2 linked regions of the Danio rerio genome follow. The protein of the gene in region 1 purifies or fractionates together with the protein of each later gene. This does not show direct contact. Links are inferred from orthologs where the notes say so. Each region holds a gene or a part of one and is shown on either strand. Other genes may lie near its edges. The genes, in order: tada2a and zzz3.

Region 1 (16,007 bases):
TGCCATGGCAGTTCACCGGAAGCTCTTAAGTTGACTTACTGAAAATTAAAAGTCCCTGTGCATTAAAAGTCCCATTGGCTCTTTTATTTTGAAGACAATGAAGACTATTCCATCATATTGCATGTGTTTTACTTTAAATACTGTGTGTTTTACTTTAAATACTGTATATGTGTGCCCAGAGTTTGTATGTCCTAAGACTCTGATGTCAATATGTCTATCATCTTGAAGTGTTAAATATTTAAACTAACCACTAAAACATGAAATCACTAAAAATAAATTTGAAATTAGTTTTTCAAGATGCCACAACATTGTGCAGCAAACCATTCATGGACCATCATTGACTGCTCCAATATGGGAGAAGTCTTTCTAAATAAAATTTGCATACTCATTGTAAACTAGCAGTTTCACATTTGTGCTTTTAAATTTACAATCGAGCAATTCCATTCAAATGTCAACTTTGCTATGAAAAAAAAAATAGTTTTCACCAAAATAGCAACCATTTCTAAATTTATTTGTGGAAGCAAGTATTTTACAGTACTTTAGAAACACTCAAAAATATCTCGTTAATGTTTTACATTTGATTTACCAAAGTCATACAAGTGGATATTACAAATCTTTCACATCCATAACCATTTTTTTTCTCATTGCAATTAATAAAATCAGTATTTTTTATTTCCTATAGTAAGCCAACTCTTATCCTTACGATTAGCATTGTTTATTTTGGGGTGTGCAGTTTAATTCACAGAATTTCTACAAAGTATGTCGAATGCTGTAAACTCACTAACTTTTTTCATCATCCATAACGCATGTTTATTTCCCTCATTTAAGATCTAAAAAATGTTTACAGATCGATGTTTTTCTGATCCCATTACTCTGTGGTTAGTTGTTTTGGAAAATATAAACACGTTAACAGTTTCTCTGTGAATTTATGTTTTGCAAAAGTCACATCCATAACGCTGGAATAGCTCAATCATGAATTTAAAACGGTTGGATGATTTTTTCACAATTTATAATAACAACAAGAATAAATGGACTTAAATACAGTGTTTTTTTTTTCAGAGGTTAAGAGACAGAGTAAATGTTATCTTTTCCTAAATTCAATTAATTTAAAAAGCTAAATGGACAATACATAAAAGTGTGCATAACTAAAAATATCAGGGTGATACTTCAAAATAATGGTCTGTTAGTTAATGTTTGTTAATGCATTTACTAACATGAACTAAGCATTATCAAATCTGTATGGCATTTTTTGAGTTCAACATTATTCATTCATTCATTTTCTTGTCGGCTTAGTCCCTTTATTAATCCGGGGTCGCCACAGCGGAATGAACTGCCAACTTATCCAGCAAGTTTTTACGCAGCGGATGCCCTTCCATCTGCAACCCATTTCTGGGAAACATCCACACACACATTCACACACACACACTCATACACTACGGACAATTTAGCTTACCCAATTCATCTGTACCGCATGTCTTTGGACTGTGGGGGAATCCGGAGCACCCGAAGGAAACCCACGCTAAGACATGGAGAACATGCAAACTCCACACAGAAACGCCAACTGTTCGACCCAGCGACCTTCTTGCTGTGAGGCGACAGCACTACCTACTGCGTCACTGCCTCGACCGAGTTCAACATTATTAAAATCTAAAGTTGTGCTTGTTAATATTAGTCAGTGCACTGTGAGTTACGTTGACTAACAATGAACAACTTTATTGTCATTAACAAACGTTAAAAAAGAGGAACAAGTACTGTAATAAATCTGTTGTTCATTAGCATTTCCTCATTTGCTCATGTTAGTAAATACAATAACCAACATTAACAAAAGGAAAAATGAAATTTCATAAAATTAAGATATTGACGGTTCATTTCGCTGTGGTAACCACGCTAAAGCAAGGAAAAGGCCAAAGGAAAGTAAAAGTAAAAATTATAATTATGTAATTTATATATCAATGTAATAACCTAATAATAATAATAATCATAATAATAATTCTAACTTTCATAGTAATCTATTAATACTAAATAATGTATAAAAACAGGATCATCCTGAAGCTGAACCATCGACATTATATAATAGATATCAATTATAAATATCTATGAGTTGAACGCCTCTTATAAAACTATGAGAAATGAATCCGTAAAAAAATACTTACGATGATTTACAGGTGGGAAAGTGATGAAAACGAAATATCTGGTCTGATATTCCTCAAGTGTCCAGTGTAAAGTAGGCTATCAGTTATACTGTAGATGATTATTAAAAGTCACTTGAGAGATCTTGACCTCACTGTAGAAAGGCTGAGCTCGCGAGTCTGTCACATATTCATGTATGTATGTATCGCGCAGGTGCCGCTGAGGGGCGCTGTGGAAGAACGTCACTTCCCCTCCTAATGTTGTTCACTGAGCTGCACAGATCGAGCAGAAGCACTGTGTTTACATTCTCAATAATGTGTTAAACAGAGCATAAGATTATGTTTTTATTCTTTGCTTTTTAACGACGAGGCATAATCGGTACAACCGCCCAGTTTAATTCAGCACAAATCACAGAAAGATCTCAATTTTTTTCCAAACGAGTGGAAGAGGAGGAGGAAGGTTTTACATTTTCCAGATCCCATCATTCATTTACAACATGGATAGACTGGCGTCATTTGGAAGTAAGTTTCTTGTTTAGTAAATCTAGTACTCTTGGGGAAACAGCCTAAATATGAAAACTAAATAGCTCTGGTATTTGATACAGAAATGTACCATAGTAAACGGATGTCAGCTAAAATGACTCTGTAAGAGCCATTTACGACGTACGTTGTATTTTGTGCCATGACAATATTTGAATTTCTCTGGAGTACATCATGTTATGATAATACACTTATTAATAACGCTTAACATAATGCATATTGCAGTACGGCATCTTAAACTGTACCATGCTGCCCCCGATTTGTAATACATATAACTTATATAAAACAAATCAGTGCATTAAAGTATAAAGTCATGATTTCTTTAAAAAAATGTGTATATATATTTTTTTATATAAATAAATAACAATAATTTAAAGTATATATATGAAATAAAATGTAGCATATGAGTTTTTTAATGTTTATTTTTTATACAAATATTTAATTTGTAAATTTATTTATTGTATTTAAAACATTTTATAACTATTTATATTGTGAGTTTAATGAATGTAGTAAATAATTCACAATGCTTTTAAGTGGAATATATGATGCTGTACCATGGTGTTGTAATTCATAAATGGTAAAACAAATTATATTAATGGTAGAAACTATAAAGTAAAATGCAGTAGCTGCAGTGCATTAACTGTAATCATACCTCAGGTGAATGTTGTATTAACCAGAAATAGTTTTAAGACCCCCTTACTGTATACTTTATGCTTCACAAATAGGCATAGGTCGGTATAAGATTCTGACGGTATGAGAACTTTGGATAAAATTATCACAGTTTCACAGTATTATTAGTGCTCTAAAATAAGTTTTTAAATGTCTGGGTGAACAACTAAAACTTTTCCACCTAGTTTGAACACAATATAGTTTATTTTGAGAAACATTTAAAATATTTTGGAAAAGTAAACGTGTCCTAAATTATTGAAATGAATCATTGACTTCTGCTGTTTTCATTAGTTTCAAAACACTGATTTCTTTACAACTTGAAAAGACATCTTCGCAAATGTTTTTCTTCTGGAGATACTGTTGTCCTAAAAAAAACAAACAAAAAAAAAACACGTAAATAAAAACCGTACAAACACCGTAGGAACGGTATAACAGAAAACTTTGGCGGTTTTAAATCATTGACTTTTCCAAACTGCGTTGTACTTTGAAACCTGTTATTGTCCCATGGCTATTCACAAATTAATGTTTTTCTTAAATATACTCTTATTTCCTTATAAACTATATATATATATATATATATATATATATATATATATATATATATATATATATATATATATATATATATATATATTCATTAAAAACTAATTATCTAATAACGTAATAATAACAGATATTTGTAATAAAATACTACATTTGATTTTGGTGGGTTATATTTTTCACTTTTCGTTATAATTCATAGTTTTTTTAATAAGTATCAGCTTTATAACATAGTAATATGTTTTGACATACATTCAAGATTAGCTAAATAAAATAAATGCTTTAAAAATAAAATAATGGTTTTCTTTCACATTTGTAGAATATTTTATAAACACAAGAAATATTAAACATTTATTCTAAGCAACAAACAATAAATCAAGTGTCATATTTGAAAATATATTGTACACTTTTGTAAAAACTGGACTTCTTGAACGTTCTGGTTTGATTAGGTACTGTTTGTGTCTTTTAATGTTATTATTTGTTTCATTTATTCATAAAGAATATTAAATTATTATTTTGTAATTTTGTGACTAGATACAGTAGCTCTAAATCACACTATTTTTTGTGATGTATAGAACAGAATTTCTTTATTTCACAGAAATTATTATTTTTACTTAAACACATACTGTACATGTGTTGTACAGTATGTATTGTATTGTGTTACAATAAAATTTATTTTTAGACATGCTTATATTTTCTCTTTTTCTGACAGCACAATACCATTTGAATTTTTGAATTCAGAAGAATTTTTTAAAAAAAAGTATTATTTGGTGTCATATCCCAGATTTTTTTTAATCACAACAAATTAAAATATTTGGATATTTTATACTAAACTTTATTACTTTGAAAATATTGGATTTGTTTAGGTAAAATTTTAAGTAAAATAAATGTTAATATTTATTTTATTTATAAAATAAATGTTAATATTTATTTTATTGGAATTGTTTTTTTTTTTTTTTCAGAAAACATCCAAAAAGGCTCTAAATGACTAAATTTTTGTTCATGAACTAAACATTATTACTCAAACCCATAGCTAAAATATCCAGTAAATCCAGAGAAACGGAATTTCTTGAGGGTTGATTTGCTGATACCTTCATTCTGTTTCTAAATTTTTTGGTCTTCAGATGATCCTTTCGATAAGCCTCCCTGTCGTGGATGTTCGTCATATCTGGTGGAGCCATACATCAAGTGTGCTGAATGTGGACCGTCCCCATTTCTCCTGTGTCTGCAGGTGCTTTCCTTCCACTGCTGTCTGAATGCATCAATCATACACTGTCACTGATCATGAAATACTCACTTTATGTTTTCATCTTTCTGTTGCAGTGTTTCACTAGAGGATATGAGTATAAAAAGCACCAGAGTGACCACAAATATGAAATCATGGTAAAGTATAGATTACAACACTTAATACATAAGATATTGGAATAAAAGGTATTTCAATGGCAACTGTTTTTTGTTGGTTTGTTTTTTGTTGTAGTTAATTTTATAGTTATAGTTTTATATTTATATAAGTATATATATATATATATATATATATATATATATATATATATATATATATATATATATATATAAGTGGTATTATATGGTAGTAATTGGGTTTACCGTAGTTATTGGGTAGGATTAGGGATGTAAAATAAGATAATAGTATTATAAGTGCTAATAAACAGGTAATAACCCAGTAGTAAATGTTGTTTCTCTTTTGTTACTGGTGTAATTGATAATTAAACTAAAATGTTAACAAATACTGTATGTGGGTGTTTGTTTTGTTTTCACTAGTTATATGTTCCTAAAAATCATTAAAGTATTTAGATATATAAGATGTTTTTAAATGTTGTTTATTCCATAAATGTTCAAAACAGATTCTTTTGTTTGTTTGTTCTTTAAAAATTCTTGATTGTAAAAATTTGCTCTATAAATGTATTTGCTCTATAAATAACATGTTTTTTTTTTTTAATATGTATTTTTTCTAGACCTCAGATTTTCCGGTGTTAGAGAGTGGCTGGACTGCACAGGAGGAAATGGCTCTTTTAGAGGCCGTCATGGACTGTGGGTTTGGGAATTGGTCAGTATAGTTCCTTTCCATACCTTTTATTCTTTCTTCTAATAAGGCTTAATTGTACTAGAGCTCAGTGTTTCCTCAGATCTAAATAATGTAATGTCCTCTTCCACTATTTAAGTTTAAAATCAGAACAAAAAGTGATACATTTGTGAAGTAGTAATGGCATGAAATGTTTCAGGAATTGCCAAAAAAGAGTGTCTTCCTCAGTGTTTTGTCTTGTTATGCAATGCAATTATTAAATCATCCATAAATCAAGATATATTTAGTTAAATGCAAAACCAATCAATTATATAGTAATGCAATGTATACATTAATATAATAATATCTTTAATATACAGTCAAGCCCGGAATTATTCATACCCCTGGCAAATTCTGACTTAAAGTTACTAAAATGACACCGGCTCATGAATAAAGGTATGAATAATTTCAGGCTTGATTCTAAATATTTTAGTTTACTTTTTGAGAAATTGACAAAATTAAGTGATTAAAAGAAGAACAAATGTGTGTCATTACAGCATGAAAACTTGTTTAATATGGAATAAATCAATTTTTTGTTTGTTTGTTTGTTTGTTTGTTTGTTTATAGGCAGACCTTTGTTCATGTCATGCATACAAACACATTTATATCAGTTTCTTATAAAACAGGACTTCTTGTCTTATGCCATTTTGCTTCTTGTAGTAAATGTATATTGAATTGCAAATAGATGTTTGCAGCAGAAAGCAAGACAAAAATACTCTGAAAGAATATCAGTTTTCTACTGTGTGATCAGAAAGTACATTAAAAATAATTTCTGTTTTTTAGCTTTTGGGAACAGTTTTTAAACATCAACACTTTAGTTTAAATGTATGGCCAGTGTTAAAATTCTTATACACTGTTTTTGATAATTGAAATAAACTTAAATTAAAAATATTACAAAAAAAAACTAAAAAAAAATATGATTGCATTATCAGAAACAAATCTAAAATAAAATCACTCAAACCAAAATAAAAATAAATTAACTCTTAATAAAATAATAATACCAAAAATTGCATGAGCACATTAAGTAATTACAGATAACTTAAATTTGAAATAAGACTAAATGCTTTAAAAGTATTAATATGTCATTAATGTAACACTGCTGCTGTTGTATCTGGGTTTCTTCAGGCAGGACGTGGCTTACCAGATGCGCTCTAAAACCAAAGAAGAATGTGAAGGTCACTACATGAAGAACTATATCAACAATCCTCTGTTCTCCTCCACTCTGCTCAGTCTCAGACATATGGATGATCATCTGTCCCGGACAGCAGACACAGCCATTCCCTTCAAGCGTAAGTGAGCAGCAAAAACAACAGAAGCAACTGTTGTGTGATTCACCTCTTGATATACATAAGGTTTCAACAAATTACAAGTCTAATCAATCCCAAACAAGTTAAAATGAAAGTTCACGCAAAAGAAAATTAGATTTTGCTTGAAATTGACTTAATCTGACTTTTTTTCTTTAGTAAATCATTAAAATCAGACTTTTCCATCACTATTAGAGTAGAAAAAGCATGTCAGGTAATGCTAAATTAATAGCTAGTGTATGTGCAGGAAACTGAAATTGTTTGTAATCTCCCAGCCACAGTCTGATTGTTTTCTGTAAACTCGGTGATCTGTTTTTTTTTTTAGTCAAATAGCGTCTGAGGCCTTCTGTTAAGAATTTTTTTGTTGATTTGATTACAACAATTGGACAAAGTACCAGACAAGAGCCAGATAAATTAAACAAGCTATATGAAAAAGCCACTTTATGCATTAATTGGGATTGACCCTTCTAATTAACACTTGATCCCCCCTGAATGACGTCAAAACAAGCTGTGTGAGTTGTCAGCACTTTAAAGGGCACCTATGGTGAAAAATCTACTTTTCAAGCTGTTTGGATATACATGTGTGTAAGTATAGTGTATAGACTGTCATATTGGGTTGAAATAAACACACCCGGCCCTTTTTTTTTTTTTTTTTTTTTTAATTTAACAACATAAAAACGGTGGACCAATTTGAATCGGTTTTCAGATAGACCGCAACTTTACGTAGGAGTGCGGTCCCCCCGCCCACCAATATTGATTGACAGCTGCGCGCATTAACATGTCTCCGTAGTAATGCATAAAATTATATCGACAAGACAGGACGAGCGCAAAGCAACCGGGAATAAAAGGTCTGTTCAGTTTGCTAGGATCATCAATCATCATCAGACGTGATCAAGAGTGAGTTTTACAAGTTTAACATGTTTTAAAACGTGTGCACGTGTGTAATGAAGTACAGCCAGTCACTTCAGATTCATTTCATCAGCACAGCCACGTGTCTCTCTCACTGTCTCTCTTTGTGTGTGCGTGTCTACGCTATGTATGTGTGTGTGTGCGTGTGTGTCTGCTCTACGTGTCTGTGCTATGTGTGTGTGTGTGTGTGTCTGTGTGTCTACGCTATGTATGTGCATGTGTGTCTGCTCTACGTGTCTGCGCTGTGTGCCTGAACTCATTGTTGCAACTCCACAAAAAATGCATCAAATACTGATTGGTAAAGTTCTTACTGTAGTATTTCTCACAAACGTTACGTGAGATCTGCTTCCTGAGGCTGCCAAGGGCGGCGATTGAGGCATGTTGCTGACAGGCACGTGGGAACGGTGGGCGGGGATGACTCGCCTTAAAGGCCCAGTGCTAAAAAACAGCAACAACCTTTTCCCAGCTATAGTACAGACACTTCAAACAGCTATAATAAATACTCTGATGGGTGTTTTGAGCTGAAACTTTACAGACACATTCTGGGGACACAAAAGATTTATAATAAATATGAAAAAAGGGGTATCCTATGTGCCCTTTAATAGATTTCTCTGATTTGTATCTTAAAAGTGCTGTGTGTACATTTTTGACTCTTCTGAAGCATAAAATACTATAATATGTTTGCAGATATTTAAAAGACATGCCAAATGAACATTTATGTTTATCTGAAAAACAATGCAGAAGTCAGATATTCTGCTTTGAAAATTGGTTTTCTATGCCAAAATGCTTTCTTTCTTTGTTCTTTTAACCTGCACAATGCCAGTTTAGCCAGTTATATTTCAGTACCTCAGGTTGCCTTGGTGGAAAACCTCTTATTTCATTTATTTAGAAAGGCTCTCAAAGCATGTGTTCGTGACCGAAATGTGTCCTCCAGTGGACAGTAGTAGATTCCGAAATGAGACGCAGATTCAGAGTTCCACGTGAGGTTATTAATAAGCAACATTAGGTAAGCAGGACCATCGTAAGCCCTGTGTCCTAACAACACACTACGCGACGGTATTTGCAGTGATAAGCAATCTGCCTATTTGCACCAGACGAAACACAACAGAAATTTAAATACAACCATTTAGAAGCAAAGAATATGCACCACTCATAAAATGGTGAGGTTTATAATCTAATTAGGGGTTATAATTAGGGATGCATCGATATGGATTTTTTGGCCGATACCGATAACCGATATTTCTTCAGACTTGGAGGCCGATAGCCGATATGTATAGGCCGATAATTATGAATATTTTAAATTGTTATATTTTTATACAGCAAACTTAATAAAAGATTGAACTGTTCTTATGAACTGAATAGCCTATACACAATGCAAAAAAGCTATAATTTCAAAATTGCAAGGTGATTATAGACCTATATTCATGATTTCACATAAATCTGCATGCAAAAAAATATTTCCTTTTCTTCATAGCAAATTAACATGCAAGTTGATTGTTGCATAAAAATAATAGTTTAAATAACAAAATGGTATTTAATTAACAAGCAAGTTAAACATATTTAAATAAGATGAAAATGAAAAGAGCTAAGGACTAAAACCAGCTCAAATGGTCATGAAGAAAACATGTTACAGTGATGTACACATGTACAAATATGTGTGTTCAATTTCAAACTGTTTATTTTATTTTTAAGATCTGAGGTGAAACTATCTGCTGCTGCTTTCAGTTTATGGCAATAAATGTCATGTGAAATAGCATTCAAACTCACATTATTAGTGTTTATCATTAATCATTAAAATAATAATGGTTCATTCCATTGTGAATGTATAATCAGGGCTTGAAATTAACTATTTCACTTGGTAGCACCGTTGCTCCCAACTTAACATATTTAGGAGTACCAGAAAAAATTTAGGAGCACCACCAAAAATAAATGAGCACCATTGCAAAATGTATTTAAAGGGATTTATTGTATTTGAAAACAACATAAATTAGGACTAACAAAAACCAGAAACAACTATCTTATTAATGCTGTAATGACTTATTGATATTTGTGTGCAATAGTTCCAAAATGCATGTCTAATAATTATTAAATATTAATGATGACAAAAATGACAATAATACTAACAATAAATTACATTTCTCAATATGATGCTGCCTTGAATGTGCTTGAATGCGAGTTATCTGCTAAAAAAAGTCTTTATGAAATAAATAAATATATATAAGTTTATTTATATATATAAATAAATATAAGTTACTTTATGAAAAATATGGTTTGCGTCAAACTAAAATAAAGCATTGCAGTAAAAAAAATGTTTATTTTGTACTATTGTTTTTATATGCATGTCAATCTAAAAAAGAATGTTTCTGTCACAAAACAAACGAAAGACTATAATAAATCATTAAATTCAAGATTGAAAGCTGCAAAACTGTTTTTTAGTTAGTAATTAAATAATAATATAAATCTCAAGGAATAATGGACAGAAGAACCTAATAAAAGTCTCATTTCTATCACTCTTTAAAAGTTTTGATTATCTTGTTATTGATAATCTTGTCTTGTTATGAGCTGATTTTCATTTTTCTTCGTTTGTGGAAAGCAGGCGAGTCAGCCGCACCAATTTATGAGCATGCAGAGCAGGATTCCCCCGATGACCACTGGCGCAATACCGCTCTTTGTTATGAGCTAATATGAACCAATACAGCAGCAAGGAAGACCGATTCAGCACATTTTTAAAAAAAATCTTAACAGGTCGCACTACAACCATTATATGCAGTCGCAGAAATGCTCCCAAATTTATTATGAGGTTGAATTGATGAAATTTCAGGGGCAAATGCGACCAAAACGGTTGCAATTTCGAGCCCTGATAATTACGCCAATCAGTCTATGCAAGAAAAAAATCATTCGACAGTCTGAAACCAGCAAATCTAGAAAACCAATAGACACTCTTAAGTGTTCGCAAAAGAATTTTCCCTGCAAAATAGGCATTTGTGTCTACATTTAGTCTAACAGTAAATTACAATTAGATGCACTGTTTGTATAATTTGACCCACAGTAACCACTGAAATAGCTAATCAGTAGTTAGCTAAATTTATACACAAAATTTCCCTCAAAACACTGAATATTTAAATAGGTTTTATTAGATGCAATTTACATGAATTTGATTCACTAAAGCATGTATTACACAAACTAACATTAGCGACAAAACTGACCCCACAAGAGTATTCTGGTCTAATGTGTTTTTCGACCACCTCTTGACAAGCTCAAAGCGTTTAACAGACTGTTCACACCTGTACTACCTGATGAAGTAGTTACAAAAATGCATCTTCTTAATATCAGGTGTGAACATTATAAGAGATTGCAATCATTGTACTCATCTGTTGTTGTCAGAGTAAATGTGTAGAGTGGCAAGAATGTCCACTACATGCACAAAGCCTCTCTAACCGGGTTTGCTCTAGCTCTGATCCGGGTTTTCCATCTTCTGCTACTCGCTCCTTGCTTGTTTGATTTTTTTTTTTACACTGACATTTTATGGAGGTTTTTAATGAAATATTTATTCTTCTGCCATCCTATTTTAAATCAGCATATATATATATATATATATATATATATATATATATATATATATATATATATATATATATATATATATATATATATAGTTTTTTTTTCATATTGTGATGTTAAAGGCTTTATTTCATTAGAATTGATGGAATAGTTATCATTCGCTATTAGTCAACTAAATCTAAGTCAAAATAAATTAATACATCATGAGAGAATAGAAATTATTTAGATAAAAAATTATGATGGCACATGAAGTACAAATAAGGTATATATGGATAAATGGCTTACAATAAACAGTGCTGTACTGAATAGCAGGACATCAGTCGTGTTCTAATCCATGCTTCTTTCATTGTGTTCATTTGTGTTTGCCATCCTGAGCTCCACATCCCTGCGGGCACTCATTCATCACACTCTCACCACACACAGACTAACAGATTGAATACGAGATGTGCTTGTCTGATTCATTTTGTTGTTAAGATGGCACATAAGCACACACAGACAAATCTGCAGTTTTCAAAATGTGGCAATGACTGAGTGATGCATCATTATAATAATAATGTCATGCTTTGTGTTGTATGTGTTTCAGCCACTGACGATCCTCCAAGGCCTTCCTTTGACTCACAACTGTCCAGAGATATGGCCGGATACATGCCAGCTCGAGCAGACTTCATGGAGGTAAGAGATCTGCAGCTACTAGACTTTAGTCAGGGTTACACCTTATTTCAATATTGACATGGATGAAAACAAATTTGTAGGGAATAGAAATGCATGCCTTCAGTGGAGTGTAAGTAAGATAAAGTACATCCAAGTGGTTCTTATCGCATCAGCGAAGCAAATCTGTGGAGTGTTGTTCTGTGGAGAAAAAAAAACAACCGACTGGATGTACTTTATGCCACTTATTACACAGGTACTTGTCACTAAACGTAAAAATGTGACTCAAAGCTTGTATGTTGTATTCAGCCGTAAAAGTTTATTAAGTGTTTAATTAAATGCAAAACAAGAAATGAAAATGGCTGAATGGAGCAAACAATAACCAGGGTGTCTGCAGGTTCTTAAGTCTTAAAATGTCTTGCATTTCAACAACTAAATTTTAGGCTTTAAAAATGATTAAATTTGCTAAAATGTTGTCTTGTAGGTCTTAAATAGTTTTTTTTTACAGGTCTTAATTTTCATATGTCCAAATCAGGGGTACGTTTTCGAAAGCCAACTAAGGTCGCAAGTTCCGTCGTTACAACCATAGTTCATTTATTTAGCATTTTTCAAATCCGTCTTTCCAAAGAACATTCACAAACTGCATCGCAAACTTCAATGTTTGCAACTACACCTTTGGAGCTGTAGTTAGAAACATAGTTCCTGGCTGTGTTCTATTCCCAGTTATTGTAGTTATATGCCCAGTTATATGCCCTATACATTCTAACATTTAAACTTGAAATGATTTTTAAAAAATTAAGTCATCACTCTTAAGTGTAATTTGCTGTCAAAGTATTTTTACAGATCAGTTTTAGCAGTCTTGCGTTGCCGCTTTAGTGCACTTTAAAAGCATTCATGTCATTTTGAACACAGCCGTGGCTCATGATGAAAGCTACAGGTGACCTATTATTTAAAAGCTAATGGTTTTAATATCTAGTATGTATTTATTAAGTATCTGTACTGTATATGACGTGGGCCTGTTAGTTAGAACATTTGTGCAGTGGTTTGCATGTGTCAAATTGTAAAAGTAGACTTTTCAAAAAAATAAATAAATAAACAATATTCTACTTAATAATAATAATCAGTGATATTATTGATATTATTATTAAAGTAAGATTTTTTTCATTTCCTAATAAATAATAAATATAACATTTTATTTCTTAATAAATAGACTGTCTATTTATTTAGTTGTATGATTAATATATGATACTAGAATACGTGGTTGCTTTTGTAAGTGATTTTATGTTTTAGAATAGAATATGTAATGTTCTCAATAATATTTGTAAAGAAAACAGGCCCTATATATGCCGTTTACATACAGTATATTACAATTAATCTGGAAAGCAATTGCATGTTTTTACTAAAACTAAAATTGGATTTTTTTTAAATGTGTGTCCCTGTGAAACAATATAATTTGCACAAAGAAATTATGGGGTTCCTCTCTAAATAAGCTGTTACCACCTGATTTAGAGTACCATTATAGGCGGTTTACATGATATCTAACATGGTTCAAATTATGGATCGACAGAGAAACTACGGTTTTGGGGAAACACTCATCACTACATCTTTCTTTTTTCCAAACGATGCATCGTACTATGATAGTTAATCCCGGAGTTACGTCGTTGTTTGAGAAAAGCACCACAGGCCGACACCGACACAGTCCATCTCAATAAAACTTTACTCTATTTATAACTCTGTTTACCAATATGGATTAGTTGTCTTCCCTACAATTACATTGGTTAAAAAGTTCTCTATGTATTTATAGACCATATATGTTGGGGACACTGACCTGGACCGACTGTTATACTTTTAGTTTTTTTTAAAGTTTATACAGCTTGTCAATCTTCTTTAACAACAACAACAACAAAATAAGTGTGTAAGTACACAACTAGGTTTTGCTTTGTTTTGACACATTTAAAATATGTGGCTAACATAACTTATTTGAATTTATTATATAAAACTCTTTTTGTGCTTGCCCAAATGGGCCATTGGAAATAGTCCTTAGCATTTAGCCTTGTTTTAGTCGAAAATTGTATCTATAGTGGTGTTAAAAAGTCTTAGGTACGTTCACACCGACACGGATGAATCGTCAAGTGCGAGTGATCTATGTGTTAAGTCAATGCAAAGATGACCCTGCAGATGCTATTTTAGCCTTGCTCCATACGATCAGCAAGCACATTCAGCACCCTGGTGCTTTGCCAGAATTTTATTGATTTTAGTTCAGCTTTTAATACTAATTAATCAGAATCTTGACTATTTAGAATAAAGTATTCCAGAGCCATGTGATATTGTTGTTTAACGGTTGTTTAAAATCAATACATGAAATGTCTTCTTTAAAAAAAAAGAAACAATAGCAAAAACACCCTTAAACCTTTGTATGAATGTTTTGATATTTATACAGCCTGATACAGGCTTGTTTCCATAAATTCAATATGCCGTCTAATGACTGTCTGTTTAGAACTTATGTAATTCATACATTTTTTAAAGCAACCTCTCTTTCTCTTTTTGTCTCTGAAATTAGGAGTTTGATAATTACGCTGAATGGGATTTAAAAGATATTGACTTTGTCGATGATGATTCTGATATCCTTCATGGTAAGTGCAACAGTAGAGAAAATGAGTACATTTGTTCTCTCATTTTACTGAAATCAAATGTTATTTTTACAATGTAGCATTATCATAACCTGTTTGCCATTGAAAAATCATAGTTGTTATTGCTGGCTTAATGAGATCAAACATCATTATGGTCTTTTTTTACTTTTATTTCTATTATAAAACATCCTGAATTTAGTTTTCTATATCCATTTTGATGCTATTATACAAATTTTTATTGTAATGTTTGATTTTAATTGAATTTTAGATTATTTTATTATTTTTTATTATGGTTTATTATTTTTAAGTTGAACCACTTAAGTTTAATTAAATTGTATTTCAGCTATAGTATTATTATAAGTTAAATTTTCATACTTTAGCTAGATACAAATACTTAGCAAATCATCATATTTAATTTAATTTAAAATTAACATTTTATTATTTATAATGTTTTTCATATATACTATTATACATTATTTTAAAATATATATATATATATATATATATATATATATATATATATATATATATATATATATATATATATATATATATATATATATATATATATATATATATATTAGATTATATTTGTGAAAACAAACTGAATGCTAAATTCTTGGTAACTACTTTTTACCATGTTTGTGGTATTATTGTGTTATTGCAGCACTGAAGGTTGCTGTAGTGGATATTTATCACTCCAGACTAAAGGAAAGACAGAGGAGAAAAAAGTAAGTAGAAAAAAATACTTGTACTGCATAACATCAACCTCTAGAGGGCCACCCTTCCCTATTAAATTAGATTTCAAATTAGAGCGTTATTTCTAAGGGCCCCTTTCTCAATTAACAAATTATATATCTGAACAAAAATATGTAACACTCATATGATAGATACCAAAATAAAATTAATTATCACATGCATGTTTGAGAAATGCCTTGCTGGAGTTCATCTGGTTTGTTATAATGTAACCTATACATAGCAACTAATCGGCCAGTCT
Region 2 (16,807 bases), on another chromosome or scaffold:
CAGTCCAAAAACATGTGGTATAGGTGTATTGAATAAATTAAATTGTCCGTAGTGTGTGTGAAAATTGGTGTGTATGGTTCTTTCCCAGTACTGTGTTTTGGCTGGAAGGGCATCTGCTGCATAAAACATATGCTGAAATAGTTGGCGGTTCATTCTGCTGTGGCGACCACTAATAAATAAGGGACTAAGCTGAAGGAAAATAAATAAACAAACAATTCTGTTTAAGATGTGCTGAAAAAAAGCATTAGACATCACTCAGGAAATATTTAAAACAGAATTACAATTTCACAAGATGGCTAACAAAGCTGCCTTAGTCACTGCTATAAATAAAACAAAATGTTTCTTCTGGGTTTTCTCTACATTTATCTTGTTAGTCAAGAAGATATGACGTCCGAGCACTACAGAGCTTTGACCTTTTCCATGCGCACCCTCAGGAAAATAGGATCCACAAATAGGAACATGGAAAAAAAAAAAAGGGGAACGATGGGGGAGAATGAATAATACAACAGGGTTTTTAAGTGAAGGAGATTCAGCCTACTGCTCAAAAGTAATCTTATTCAGCTCAATAAACCTTGTATAAATCAATCAGGCCTAATACGGCATGAACGAAAACCAACTGATGACAGCAAGCATTCGCTCTCAACAAGAATTCATCTAGAGGACTGGTTTCATCTGATTTGCCATCCTTGAGGGCAACTGGCTAGCTTTCCTTCAATTTCCTTGCCGCCTAATAACTTCGACCACAGAGGAGCTGTTCACAGCCTCTCGATTCAGATGCACAATGAAGATAGACATGTAGCACTGCAGGATGGGGAAAGCAGCCAACAATGGCAAAGAGCCCAAACATGACATATGGCTGATAACGCACTGCCGCCTATAGTTCAACCACATGAAATGCAGCCTAGACCAATAATAAAGCTGAACAAATAGAAGTATAGTGAAATGGGCATATTAATCAGTACTTTGCCAATTAACCTGCACTGAATTCCACACAAACAGGAATTCTGGCCTAAAACCTTCACACATTTTTGTAACTAGGTAGGCAAATCAGACACATTAGAGCTTATTGTGTGCATGTTAAAGTGATAGGTCACCTAAAATAAATAAATAAATAAATAAGGTAAATTCTGTCATCATCATGAACTCACACTTCATTTGTTCAAAATTGAGTTTCTTTCTTCATGTTGAACATAAATCAAGATATTTTGCTGAAAACCTGTAATCATTGACTTCCATAGTAAGATTAAACAAATACTATGGAAGTTAATGGTTATGGGTTGTCTTCAAAGTATCTTCCTTTGTGTTCAACAGAAGAAAGAAACTCATAAAGGTTTAAAATCACTCGAGGGTGAGTAATTAGTGAGTACATTTTCGTTTTTTTGGGCGGATTTTCCCTTATAGTCAGTCATTACAATGCCTAGGTTTAGACTGAGAGATGTCAACACACCACTAAAACCCACAACTCCGGGTAAAGTTTGTTGTAAAATACTACTTTTACAAACAGTGCACGGAATAAATGAGTATTTTTCTTTTAAACGTACGTTTTCAAAAGCATGCTACACCATAAGGTATTATTTGTGTGTATCTACAAGAGTTGGGTGGTGTCGACCAATTTGGCACCATACAATGTCTAATGTGAAACATTGCGATTTGGTCGATGGCATCGTTGTCATAGGCAACGTCATTATTTATAATTAATTAATTAATTCATAACGAATTAATTATTTGTAGCCTACCGTTTCAACTACCTGACCCGCATGCTCTTTGTTTTACCCATAAAAATACACAAATAAATAAAGATAAGTTACACACAAATGACCACCTATCACTCATTTTTTCCAAGTGAGGGTGGTCGGTAAAAAAGGTGCCCAACCAACAGTATCTGAGGTTTTCCCTAAAATTAATAAAGTACAAGTGTGAAAGTAAAAGACTGAAGCCGTGAACTGACGCTGTGACACGTTACCTGATAGATTCAAAAGACAGAAGAGTTGTTAAATAGAGACAAGATTAATTAAATATCACTTTAAACAACTCTAATAAGACACGATCCAGCGGTACATCCTTGATAAACTCTCCGATGTGCACTTCTCTCTGGAGCGCTTGACAATGTGTGTGCGTGTGTGTGTATTGTCACGTGATTTGTGTTTTCAGCGGACGGAGGGCTGTTCAGAAATGCTAGGTAAAACACAGCATGGATGTGGATCATTTACGTTCTAAAATGCCATTTTAATACTAAGACGTCTTGGTGTAAATGAGGCCTAAGTGTGTATTTTATGCGAGGGAGTTTGCGATGGCGGCAGGACGAAGAATCGTCATGCCGGCTGTGCATTGTGTTGTCTATTGGCCATCGGCGATGGATAATGGCATCGTCTATCAGCCCAACCCTAGTATATACTTATTCGATTAGTTAGTAGCAAAGCCAAAACTGGAAGTAATGTAACAAAATAAGATGTTTTGTTATATTTTGACTAAATAAAGGGTGGTTTATCCTTCTGTGTTGAGTGATCGACGTGACCAACAGCGCATGCCTTGTGCACAGCCGAGCATTTATACGTCTGCGTGCTGTTTGTGTTGCTCTGCAACAACACTTTCGAAATGCTAGCTGGCAGTAGGTTTTGTTATGTTCCTCTGAATCGAGTTTCTTCACAGGTTTTTGTTTTTTCTGAACGCTACCATAATGTACAAATAGCTAAAACTCGGACGTGCATCAACTTTTATCATAAGGTAAACACAAAACACTTACGGCTACTCCACGGGACTCCACACTTGTAAACACTCACTCCCATCTGGCTCGCGACTCTTAGCACTGCCCACACTTGGCACAGCTACCAGGTCGACCAATCACAGAGCTTGCACTAAGCATCGTTGCGACTTGTAGTTTAATTGTATGTAAGGTGCACATCAGTGTCTGCGACCGCACACAGGCTGCGCCAAACCATACGTGTGCACTTGACGCAGAAGTATAAATATGCCTTAAGAATAAAACTTAAAGCTTGGACCCCGTAGAGCACAAGGCAATAATCTGTACACCCCAATTAATCTTTTATTGGAAAAAAAGTATAATTTGAATTAAATAAAATAAAAAAATCAATAAAACAATCAAAATAATAAAGCTAATTGAACTTTTGTTTTTCTTATGTAATAACTCATTTAAATGTAAACAAACTATATCTTTGTATTCATCATGATGTTAGGTGACCAGACTCTTATTTTAAGAAATATGCACCAAAATACACTCATCAGCCACTTTATTAGGTACACCTTACTAGTACCAGTTCGAACCCTTTTGTTTTGCCTTAAGAACTGCCTTAATCTTTTGTAGCATAGATTCAACAAAGTATTGGAAATAATCCTTCTATATTAACATGATAACATCACGCAGTTGCTGTAGAATTGCTGTAGAATTGATGAATTGATCCATGATGTGAATCTTCCGTTCCACCATATCCCAAAGGTGCTCTATTGGATTGAGTTCTGGTGACTGTGGAGGCCATTTGAGTAGAGTGAACATGATCAGCAACAATACTCATGTAAGCTGTGGTGTTGACACGATGCTCAATTAGTACAAATGGGCTAAAAGTGTGCCAAGAAAATATCTCCCACACCGTTACACCACCACCAGCAGCCTGAACTGTTGATACAAGGCAGGATGGATCCATGCTTTCATGTTGTTGGCAACAAATTCTGACCCTACCATTCAAATTAAATCAAGACTCATCATACTAGGCAACGTTTTTCCAATCTTCTATTGTCCAATTTTGCTAAGCCTGTGTGAGTTGTAGCCTCAATTTCCTGTTTCTAGCTGACAGGAGTGGCCTTCTGCTGCTGTAGCCCATCCGCCTCAAGGTTGGACGTGTTGTGTGTTCAGAGATGCTCAATGTGATGTTCAAAATTACCAATTTAGTCTTTTATGCCAAACATCATTTGACTATTAGGTAAAGATTATGTTTCCTAAACACATTGCATTAATTTCCTACAGTAAATGTATTAAAATGTAATTTTTTATCTTTAATATGCCTAAATATATACTTTAAAGATGTTCAAATAGTTATTTCCCAACCAAATATTGTCCTATCTGGAAAGCATATTGAGCTTTAAAAATGTATAAATGTCAGTTTCTATAAAAAATGATACTTATGACTAGTTTTGTGGATCTGGGTCACATAAAAGCTGCCATTCACTCACACCAATCAACAATCCAACACACTATATCAACATCCTAATAACCAACCAGCAATGCTTTACAAGTTAAAACTGAATTTCAAAATGAATTGCGATGGAAAAACTGTCCCATTTAAGGATTAAGAATGATTTAATACCAAACTATTAATAATTCAGACTGGTCCCATGAACTGATGTGGCTGCACTCTCCTTTCATTTCTACTGACCGACAAGCCAATCCAGCTGGCTGCTCCCGATCCCTGCACTCCCACTGTGAGACTGGCACATGCTGAATGAGCACGACCCAGGACAACCTGTCTACCAGCAGCATGCTTCCCTTCGCTTATTACCTACCACTGTCCTGGAGATTACAGCAGCTGTTGCTCATTTTTGCTACAAAAAAAAAAACAGTATGCATAACCAATGTTTTTAAATTACAAATCTCAAATGCTGAAGAAAAAAAGAGCAAAGGCAGACAAATCGAAACTTGCACAGCTCAGTTTTGGCAACCATACAAGCTAAAGCATTGCAGTTCGGTTCTACTTCCAAAAAAAAAAAACAACTTAAACTATTTTAAATTTCAAAGCTACAGAACTATCTGAATGGATTGCAGAGTATTTCTATATAAGTTTTTTGATTGGCTTTGGTGGTTTGCTGTGCAGTTTCTAGGATGTTTTATGGCCCGTTTCTACTTAGTGGTACGGTTCGGTTCAGTGCGCTTTTAAGGCCGTTTCCACTGTCAAAAGGTACCTAAAAAGCAAACCGTACCACTTTTGGGTACCCTTTGCAAAGGGTACCTAGCACAACAAAAGGGTACCAAAGGGCGGAGCAAGACGTGCAACTAAACGCTACTGGTTTACAGAGATACGTTACACGCAAAAGCAGGAGAATAAAAACAAAGGAATCACCTTTTTTAAATACACAGCTGAGACATTACACCAGGGGTCACCAAACTTGTTCCTGAAGGGTCTGTGTACTGCAGATTTTAGCTCCAACCCTAATCAAATACATATGTACAATACTAGGTATACTTAAAACACTCAGGCAGGTGGATTAGGGCAAGTTGGAGCTAAACCCTGCAGGGACACTGGCCCTCCAGAACAAAGATTGGTGACCCCTGCACTAGACCATAATAATATATACATATAATAACGAACCATGGTTGACCTGAGCTCAAACAACCTTGTCGTTGTCTTGATGAACAGCCACAAAGCCAAAAAGAGCAGAATCTACCCTGTGGCCAGTAGTTATTTAAAGGGCGAGCAGTTTTGCTGTCTTGTGTGCGTTCGTCATGCTTCTATATTTGAAATAACAAACTTTTTGAGCTGATTATAATAACGTGCGCATGATTAATAAAGTGCTTCAGACATCCAATCCTTTCAGAAACAGACCAACGCGAGAGTATAGTGCGAAAAAACAAAAAAGAAGCCAGAAAAACAAAAAAACAAATGAGCAAATGATTCTTTCAGCAACCTAAACCATGAACAAACGACAATGTTTAACTACTATTGTCGCCTTTTGAACTATTATAAACTTATGAATAGCTTTTTTAACCGCAGGTGAAGATTAAAGATACAGATGAGAGGTTTGCACTGATTGCACAGCTTTACTTTGACATTTCCTCAAGCTAGAAGGACGTTGACTGAAACTTTCTGTTGAATACCATGCCCACCAAAAGAGTACCATTGGTACCCTTTTGGCAATGGAAACGCAACCCTGATAAAGGTGACTCGTACAGACCCGTACCGTACCGTCCGGCTTAGTGAAAACGCGCCATTATGAGGTTCCTTAAAGCAACAGATGAACGATACTATAGGTTTTTAAACATTGCTCTGGTCTGTCCAAACTACAGTTGCAGTCAGATTTTCAGATCACCAACAAAGTCCAATAATTTTAATAGAAATGTAGCTGATCTGAAAATCTGAATATGGATCAAAGATTTTTAATTTGTAGATTTTTTTTAACAGGTTCAAACTGGTGACAGACATAAAAGTCAACCAAAACATACTTCTTAACCTACAGTATTTCTGGCTGACAGTCGACTTAAGACTTCTCATAAAGCTACATGATTCATGTCCGTTGTATTCAAAGTTGGGTTGTTGGGTTTAAATGCTGGGTTTGGGGTAGCCAAAAGCAAATTTCTAATCAATAATCTTGAATCACCGCAATTATGAAAAAGATTCAAATGAAAGAACGTAAACCTAAACATACTCTTTGTTGTGTTTGAGAGCCAAGTGATCCGACTCAAAATAGTAGACATCTGGGTCCTCTTCCTCCTCCTCATCTTCCTCAGCCTGAGCAGCCAGCAGCTCTTTGGTGGATCTTGACTCTCTACTATCAGACACTCCGACCTCTCCGCTGACAACCTCTTCCTCGAAAAGTTCACTGTCTGCCTCGCAAGAAAGTCCCAGTGCATCATGGGAAGGGTCTTTATGGCTGGTGTCCTCTGAGAAAAAAGGAACCATTGTGGTCTCTTCCTTCAGTGAACCATTGTCTATGTGTGGGGAAGTGGGTTTGGGGGAGCTGGCTTTGAGCCCGCTACCAAAGGCAGCGCGGCGCGGTGAAGTCCTCAGGGTGTAGCGGTGTTCTTGAGGCTCTGTGAAGGAGGGGGGCTCGGCGGGCAGCTGAGAAGCAGCCAACAGCGTTTCTCCTGAGATATTCGAGCAGTTGTCAGAAGGGTCCTGTGGTTCAGCCTGAAAGTCACCATTGGTGCTCTCCTCTCTCACGAATTCATCCTGAGCCTGGCCAGCCTCTCCCACAACATCGACCTCTACCTCCATCTCGGGTTCCTGAGACAGCACAGCCTCAGCGGCTTCCTCAGGTGTGCAGTTCCTCTCACAGTCAATTTTAGGGCTGTCGGGCTCATTGGTTTGCTTGGGATGAGGGGATCTACAAGGCACAATAGGGTCGGGGGATGAGGGCGCAGCCTGGCTGCCATTTAACAGTGAGGGACTGCTGTTGAGTGTGGCAGGGGAGGCACAGGGCTCCACAGGTAAGGCCGCAACTTCTGAGTCCTCTCTATAGAGTTCAGCGAGGCCATTGGTTGCTTTGACGTTCTCGCTGACCTCTGGTTGAGGGGCGATCTCTTCTGTTGGGCCATCCTTTTTCTGATCAGCCTCTTTGTCTGAGGCTGAAGTATTATTTGATTTGGCGCCATCGTCATTTTCCTTCAATACAGCAGGATCGGGGCTCTCGGGTTTGAGAGAAGGCTCTTCCTCTGCCCCCTGTGATTCACCTGAGCGAGGACAGCGTTTGGCCCTCTTCAGGGCAGGTGAGGCTTCAGGCCCACACCCAGACCTTTGACGCTCACAGTTATCAAATTTGTCCGAATCTTCCTTCTCGGAGCTCGGCAAGCCACGTTTTCCACATGCAGGCACGGGTTCGCCCTCCGCTTTGCTCTCAGTTACCTTTCCAACCTGTGCTCCGGTCTGCTGGTGCTGCTGACAGTCCTGCTTCTTTTTGGGTGAGCGAGCTCTGGGCACGGGAGGCGGAGAGCTCTCTTCCGGCTGGGCGATGCTGCGGTTCCTGAGGGTTCGGCCACAAAAGTTCTCATCCAATCCATTTATCCCCACTGATGATCTTGTGACGCGCGAAGAGCGGGACGCGGCCATACTATGGTGGGTGCCTACTGTCTCCTCATCGTGGTGCTCTCTCCTCAGCAGCAGTATGTGGGCACCTGAGTGACACAATGAGAGACTAATTACAGACCGTTCAGATTCTAAATTACACAGGTTTAAGTGTATAACAAAAAATAGACAGAAAAGATGTAATCGGTTGCTGTTCCTGAAGAACATACATATTTGAGAATGCATGCAAATGTGCTCAGGTTAAATCAAAGTTGCTGCACAGCACTGAAATGTTCACAAGTTTAAACAGAGGTTAGTATATTCTGAAATGTAGTGGATTCATGTAAAACAAGTTCATAAGAAGTTACATTTACACACAGAAAAGTTTTAACTTTTAAAAATTAAAAAACAAAAACGTACGATAAAGCTGCAGAACTAACAGTTGAAAGATCATGTTCTTGATTAAAGACTAATGCTTACTTCACTGTAACCAATTGTATTATTATTGATATATAAACAGACTGCAGAAAACACATTCCTCCTATAACCTCTAGTACACTCAATTAAATTCCTTAAATACTCAATTACATTTGTGAAATACCACCAACACTTTCTCTTAGTACTTCATAGGTAAGAATTGTGTTTAGTACTGGAAGAGATTGAAATTGACAGCATATTTTGAAAACATAATTATAAAACTTCAATTTAATCGCTCGGAAAATAAACAATAAAACATTTCTGTGGTTGCTGCTTTGCTTTGTCATGGTAACATTTAAGTCCCCATTCAAGGGCTCTGCACCCTGGACTGAGCAAAGCATAGGAATATGGGTCTACTTGGGTGTTGAATTGTCTAATAATGATGTCAGGCTCAGGGGTGAAGCATAGGGCTGGGCGATAAAAATCGAGATCACAGGCTTTTATGACTAAACAAGCTCCAGAAGTTCTGGGAAACTGAGGTGGTAGAAGCGCAGTAGTTATGATTTCTTTAACTTGTATGAAAAAAATATAAATAAAAAATACGTGACCTGAGATGGTTAGGAGAAAGATTTAACTGTATTTATTAACTGAACACCATTGTCGATATCAGTAACAAAAAAAGTTTGGTATGTAGTTTCGGTATGAAGCGCTATAGTTTTATTAAAATGTGTCTGCCGAGCGCGCACCTTGGAAGCAATGCCAATAAGCTTAGAGTCAGTTTGTCATTTCCAAAGGAGGTGCACATGGGAGTGACGTACACATGGTGTGCGCATCACGTTAAGGAGCAACATGTTTGAGCACTTTCTAAAGATTGTAGTTCTGATTTTAATAAAGGGTTGGAACTTTGAAATTAATTCTTTTTTTTTATCTGATTCAAGTAATTGTTAGTTGCAGTCCCAAATCAATGATCATTCTCCCTTCTGTTAAGGCTTCTGTTTGCTAGCCAAAAAGAAAAATTATTGAAAACCTGGTGTCCAAGAAAATTAAAATATACCACTCAAAAACACATTCGGACCAAAGAAATTAAAGTGACCCCAAAATGTAAATGTGAATATTTAATATTTTTAAAGTTTAAAAATATGATCTAAAGTGATGGTTTTCAACAATGTATTAATAAATGTGAGCACATGAAAGCATAACTGAAAGCTCAACTCTGAATAACAGTACACTGGTGGAATATTTGGAATGTTTCCACAAGCATGAGTTCCACAAGAAAAGGAGGTGGGCGTATTTATTTTTAGCTTTTTAATCGACTGAAAAAAAATTCAGCTAGATTTCTGAAGAGCATCTGAGTGATGGTTACCTGTGCAAAAGTCACCACAATGCCAAGGTGCTGCTATGTGATTACTGGTTCAAGTCGAAACGAGCTCAACTATGTCCATAATTACCCTCTAGTTAAAGCCTATGAGAATTTTTTAGTATAAAAACTAATAGCACAGCCCTCAAAAAACTGCAGAATTTAGAAAAGCCATTGAGGACTGTAGCATAAACATATCAAGTTTTATACTTTGAGACATAAACAAGAGTAAAAGTGATGATATATGAGCAAACATCGCTAATAAGAATCCCCCCCCCCCCCAAAAAAAACCTTTACTTATTACTTAGAGATGCACCAATTGTAATCACTTCAGATTTTTTTTGGTGTGACCTGCTGATACCAATGTTCGCTGATTCCAACTTTCTTTATAACAGCTATAATTATAAAACAAATAATAAATAATATTACAATCAGTCTAAAGAAGTCAACACAAAGAGACACACACACACACACACACACACAAAAAATGCTATTTTGCAGTATAGGGACTGGAACACACCAAGTTGACGCTAAAAAACTAGCACAGAATGTTAAGATAATACATCGCACTGGTACTTATACTAATTAATTATACACTTAACATTAAATAGTCACCTTTATAATCATGTCCAGTCTTTATCCTACCATATTATTAGTAAATTTATAATCAGTTTTTTTTTTAAGCCAGTGTTCAGTCCCCCGGATTAGTGGACTTATTGACCACCTCTGTACACACTGCTCTCTGATTTAGGAAAGGCTTTCCTCTCCACACCAGCCATCTCAGTCCCCAGTGAAAGAGTTTTTTTCAGCAGGGGACATTATAAATGTGCAAAGATCTCATACATAAACATATTAAATGCTGATATTTATTTAAAAAAAAAAGTCAAAGCACAGTCACAGCTTTAGTTTGTTTATATAACTGAGTCTTTATTTTTTTGCTGGGGAGTTTGTTTTTAAAATAGAAAATTAGTTATGGCAGAAAATATATTATTTTGCAAAAGATTTGTAGAATTTAAGAAAAAAATGAAAGGGCTCTTCATAATTTTGTAAAAAAAATCGTGACTTAATCGTATCGAATCGTCAGTCAGGTAAATCGTTACATCCTAGCTATTAGAATACCGGCCCATGCCTAAATCCCACTAGATTGAAATAAACAGTCCACAACAACCAGTGTAGGATTTGTTTAAACAAATGTTGCACACAAGGCTGTATCGTGGTAGTATATGGTGTGTAGACGTTCCTCTCATTGTGAAACGTCACTCGGAGTATTTATAACCGGCTCAGGTGAGATCAAGTGAGAGGTGAAGAAAAGACTTGAGGCTTTTAACAGTCTCACACATCTTTATAGGGAGTTGTACAAGCCTAAAAATACATATGCATGTGAAACCCAAGGTACAAAAGAAAACAAACACTTTTATAAATGTTACAAATAAAATTAAATTGCATTTTCAAAGTTAATGTTTGCACAAAAATGACAAAAAAAACTTTAAAAACATATTAAAGTAATATAACCATAAATAGGTGAGGAGGGGCAGATCCAATGAGAGCTGGAAAAAGTGATGCAGAATATAGCATCAGTAGAGGTGGCACACTATAATAAACCCACACCCACTTTGAAGCAGTACTAATTTGTGTAAAAGCAGACTGAGTTAAGACATACTGAACCACAGAGTTGTAGCACCTAGTGGAAAAGCGCTCAAAGAAAGCCTAAAGTCCAAACAATAATAATTAAGCTCCACATGTAACTTGGCCATGTAAAGTATACTAATCTGATGCTCACATAAGACCGAAGTATGCCTAAGTACAGTGCATCCAGAAAGTATTCATAGCGCTTCACTTTTTCCACACTTTTTCTGTTACAGCATTATTCCAAAATGGATTAAATTCATTTATTTCCTCAAAAATCTACACACAATACCCCATAATGACAATATAAAAAAATAATTGTTGCAAATTGATTAAAAATAAAAAACCTGAAGAATCACATGTATAGAAATATTCACAACCTTTGCCGTGAAGCTCTAAATTGAGCTCAGGTACATTCTGTTTCCACTGATCATTCTTGAGATGTTTCAGCAGCTTAATTGGAGTTCACCTGCGGTAAATTCAGTTGATTGGACATGATTTGAAAAGGCATACACCTGTCTATATAAGGACCCAGGGTTGACAGTGCATAACAAAGCACAAACCAAGCATGAAGACAAAGGAATTGTCTGTAGACCTCTGACAGGATTGTCTCGAGGCACAAGGCTGGGGAAGCTTACAGAAAAATTTCTGCTGCTCTAAAAGTTCCAATGAGCAAAGCGGCCTCCATCACCCATAAGTGAAAGACTCTTCCTAGACCTGGCCTAAGCTGAGTGATCGGGGGATAAGGGCCTTAGTCAGAGAGATGATCAATGACCCGATGGTCTGAGCTCCAGCGTTCTTCTGTGGAGAGAGGAGAACCTTACAGAAGGACAACCATCTGTGCAGCAATCCACCATTTAGGCCTGTATAGTAATGTGGCCAGATGGAAGCCACTCCCTGCCAAAAGGCATCTGAAGGACTCTTAGACCATACGAAACAAAATTCTCTGGTCTGATGAGACTACAATTAAACTCTTTGGAGTGAATGCCAGGTGTTATGTTTGTAGAAAACCAGGCACCGCTTTTCACCAGGCTAATACCACCCCTACAGTGAAGCATGGTGGTGGCAGCATCATGCTGTAAGGATGTGTTTCAGTAGCAGGAACTGGAAGACTATTCAGGAGAGAGGGAAAGATGCTTCAGAGTGCTCTTGACCTCAGGCAGGGATGACGGTTCATCTTCCAGCAGGACAATGACCCAAAGCACACCTCCAAAATATCAATGGAGTGGATTCACAACAACTCTGCGAATGTCCTTGAGTGGCCCAGCAAGAGCCCAGACCAAAATCCTATTGTACATCTCTGGAGAGATCTGAAAATGGCTGTACACCGTCACTTCCCATCCAACCTGATAGAGCTTGAGAGGTAGTGCAAAGAGGAATGGGCAAACATTCCTAAAGACAGATATGCCAAGCCTGTGGCATCATATTCAAAAAGACCTGAGGCTGTAATTGCTGCCAAAGGTGCATCAACAAAGTATTGAGCAAAGGCAGTGAATACTTATGTACATGAGATTTTTCAGGTTTTTTATTATTAATTAATTTGCAACAATTTCTGATAATCGTTTTAAAATTTTCATTATGGGGTCTTGTGTGTAGAATTTTGAGGACATAAATGAATTTAATTCATTTTGGAATAAAGTTATAACCTAAAAAAATGTGGATAAAGTGAAGCGCTATAAACACTTTCCAGATGCACTTATAATTTTTTTTGCACAAGAGGAAAATTGCATTTCAACCAACCAACAAATAAATGTAAGCAACACTAAAATTAAACCTCCAAGCAACGATGAAAGGGACCCGCAGGGCTCACCACCTCCCGGTGGCCTAAGGATGACAGAGAATAGACTTCCTGTTGGGTTTGAGATTTCGCTCCAAGAGAATTTTCATTCAGATCCTCATTAGGATACTAAACAAATTTTATACTGTAGTTGTAAATTATTTAGAAAAAGGAAATCTGTAAATACAAACCCTAATAAAATACTGTCAAATGAATCAAAAAGTATTTTTGTTAACTCTATAGCTGTGTCCCAAATGGCACACTATACACTGTGCACTATGTATTACTTATGCACCTACACACTCAACAGCATAGTATATGAATGTAGTGTTGTCGCAAATGGAACTTTAACATTTTTTTTCTAAGCGGAAATTCAAACCGTTTCACCAATGACGTTGCTAAATTAGCCAAATAAATGACCAAATAATACTTGCCACGAGTATAACCTCATTCACCATCGGGTGGTGCTATAAATCACTCTCATAGGAGAATTTTGCTTTCACAATCTAAAATAAATAAACTTATCCAACATCAGTGCCTGAAAGCACCGCCCCTTCCACTACTTATGCAAAGCAGCGGCCGTTGAGTGCGTGAAGTGTCAAACGTTCCACACTCCATTTTAACAGCTGAATAAGTGCATCATCCAGGTAATTAAAGTGCACTTATTCTTTTTAGGCCTGATTTATACTTCTGCGCCAGGTGACCGGCGTAACCCACGGCGCAGGCAACGCGCGTGGCTGTGCATTCATACTTCTGCACGCTGTCTCTGTTGGTCTGCATTAACACTTCCGAAACACTAGTTGGCAGTGAGGTGTAAATGTTCCTCTGTGTCGAGTTTCTTCGCTACTTTTTTGCATTTCCTGAACACTTCCGGGATGTACAAGTGGCTCAAACTCGCTCATTTTGAGGCAGGAACCGGCGGACGTGCAACAACTTTAACTATGAGGTAAACACAAAACAAAACTTTCCATCCGGACCTCCTTCACGGGACTCCACACTTGTAAACAATCGCTCGCGCGGCTCTCGGTCCCGCCCAGACTCGTCAGCGCTACCAAGCCGACCAATCACAGAGCTTACGCTACGCGTCGTTGCGACGTGTAGTTAAACTTTTTGAGAGGTGCACGTCAGTGACGGCGATGGCCACGGCGAAGGGCTATGCGTCAGCGCCGTAGCATACGCCGGTGTTTGACGCAGAAGTATAAATCAGCCTTTAGAATTTCAGTGTGAACGCACTACTTACACTATTTATACTACAAAATGGCGTAGAATAGTGCACAAGTATGTGATTTGGGACAACCTTATGTTTCTTTTTTAAACTGACAATGTTAATGTATTTCCCAAATATTTCAGCAGGGACTGGCAACCTTTACATTTATCACAGATTTTGCCGATCTTCCCATAATTTTTTAATAATATCCATATTTCCAAATCTGCATTACACACGACACAGATTAAGCCAGTGCCAAACTGCCAATCTTTCATTGGCATTACAAACCGTCTTAATTAGCTAAAAGCATTCAGTCAAACATTTATAATAAAAAGGTGTGATTAAAACTATGATTTTTCTTACTGATATTATTTTTCATATTTTAAAATTATTATTACAGTTTTTTTATTAGTTCATTTACTGGGATTCATGATATTATTTAGCCTTTGTGTATGGTCGTGGCTGTTTTTGCCCCATTGACCTCCATTATAATGACATTTTTTGATTGCAAAGCCATGACACCATATAATTAGGCATTCCTGACTGTTGGAGGTTTTCCTTGTTGGGAACAGGTCAAATGTGTAATTGTCACTGTCGATTATCAGTTGGCACCATTAACCCTTTAGATAAGGCCGTGCAAAAAAGTGAAGAAATACACGTACTATGTTGATTATTGTACTGAGATCTGAGCGACTTTTTTTCATTTTCTTAGACAAATCAAGATAAGTGCGCAAAGGTCTTTCTCTCTCTCTCAGACACACACACTATAATCCATATAGAAGGCAAAAACTAAGCTTTTTGCACTGCAACTGATGATCAACAGAAAAACCTCCTCCCATGATGGAAAACCATCAACAATCCATGATTATATGGTGTCATGGCTTTGCAATCAAAAATACCATTATAAGGGAAGTCAATGGGGTAAAAACAGCCACAAACATAATAAAGGGGTAGAAAATTTAGTGTACTGTTGTATTCATTTAAAATACGTGTCAAAATAAGATGTCACCAAAAATCATTCCATTTGCTGAAACAGAGAAAGTTGTGGTCAAATTAAGACTCAAAATCACCCCAGGGTGGAAGAACGACGCACAAAGGGTTAAGACTCAAAAAAGCATTTCTTAAAGTCATATTGCACCAGTGTTGTAAAAGATCACACACCCCTTAACATAACTGGCTCTGTCTGCGCTGGGTTAGACAGGCAGAAGAGCTGCTCTACAGTAGATAACTTGCTACTGTTATGACTTTACAAACCAACGAAGTCTAATCTGTACCGTTTCACATTGTTCATTATCTGGGCCCAGTACAACAAATCTGGATTAGCTGGCTAGCCAGTTAAGTCTCAGTTAAATTCGAAGCAATCTTGGGTTTTAGGTAACAAAGGCAGTTTGACGTTACTGACTCTTTGTTGCCATGCTATTATTGAGCAGCTGCCTTTCTGGTACCTAAAACCCAGAATCGGTGCAAACTAAACTGAAACTTAACTTACAAGTAGCCAGTTAGGGTGCACTCACACTATACTATACGAACCGTGCCCAGGCGCATTTGTAGGAGTGCTCCGAATCAGGCCCAGGTGCGGTTCAGCTGGCCGGTCCTGGCCCAATTGGAAGAGGCATGCCATAGCACTTCTAGTGTACTGAAGACACAACGTCACTTTTAAGAGACTGTTTATATGTGTTTATTAATCATTCTCACTTTTCAAAGAACGTGGACTGTCATAATTTATTAACGATACAAACCCCAGCTGCACCTTCAGCAAACTTCCTAATACGTGCAGCACGAAGAGTTTTATGATAATTCATGAGCGTCAAATGTGGTGAATCTGCTCCGTAAAATTGACTGCATGTCACTGCATCCCAAATGACTAAAACAATAAAACGAAAGCAAGATAGAAACTGTATGCTTTCTTTTTTGAGGTGTTGATGTGGGGGTGTGTTATCATATCAAAATGAAAAATTCCTGTATCACGACAATACATCATTATGCATTACACTGGGTCTGTGCATAAGGTCTTAAGACAATTGTTCTCCCAGGTCTGATCCAAAAACGTCTTTTAAAAGACATGTTGTCTGCACTGTTGTGCCTTGCTGCTGGTTGTAATGTCGCTAACTAAAACTCACATTTTGCTGAAAAACTGTTAGCAAACTAGGGATGCACAGATACCATTTTTTTTGGAACCGATCCTATACAGATACCAAAATTATTAGTATCGATTGATACAGATCCGATCCCATTACTGTGCCATTTTTTTTTTAAACCTAATACAGTTTCTATAGTTCTGGTGCTCGAATAATATATCTTCTTTAGTAAAAATAACAGACCTTGCTATCGGCTACATTATTTGAGCATTCACTATGACATTGATCTGATCTGTTGGGGTCCAGTTTCCTTTTTTAATATTAGGATTTTTCTTTGAAATCTGTACTAGGCTACCACTATTGACCCTAATTGTTGGTCATATAACCAGACTTTTAGCAAAGCTTAATATTTCCCTGCAGGTTTGAAGCAGACTAAACTAAACCGTCTGAGGCGAGTTTTACTTAATAAAACACCTGCTGCGCGTGCGATGGAGAAACTGAAAGCATGTCGGAATAATAATTTTTTGTCTGAAAAATCATCTTTTTGAAACGAATTTTGTTTGGTATGTTTTGTTGGTTATTTTAATGTATTTTTGTTGGTCAGTTATCTACAAAATA

What was found.
Region 2: the proteins of tada2a (region 1) and zzz3 purify together in Homo sapiens (affinity purification with mass spectrometry; 4 studies listed by BioGRID and IntAct, with this or other methods). This does not show direct contact. The link is inferred for Danio rerio from reciprocal best matches to the Homo sapiens genes TADA2A and ZZZ3.

What each region holds. Positions count from the first base shown.
Region 1 is NC_133190.1:18,214,314-18,230,320, forward strand, and holds the start of tada2a (transcriptional adapter 2-alpha), read left to right. Parts: upstream 1-2,387; 5' UTR 2,388-2,626; coding exon 2,627-2,651; intron 2,652-5,002; coding exon 5,003-5,109; intron 5,110-5,201; coding exon 5,202-5,261; intron 5,262-5,851; coding exon 5,852-5,943; intron 5,944-7,083; coding exon 7,084-7,247; intron 7,248-12,315; coding exon 12,316-12,404; intron 12,405-14,940; coding exon 14,941-15,013; intron 15,014-15,677; coding exon 15,678-15,741; intron 15,742-16,007. UniProt on the Homo sapiens protein: Component of the ATAC complex, a complex with histone acetyltransferase activity on histones H3 and H4. Required for the function of some acidic activation domains, which activate transcription from a distant site. Binds double-stranded DNA.
Region 2 is NC_133177.1:9,140,304-9,157,110, reverse strand, and holds the start of zzz3 (ZZ-type zinc finger-containing protein 3), read right to left. Parts: upstream 7,773-16,807; coding exon 6,373-7,772; intron 1-6,372.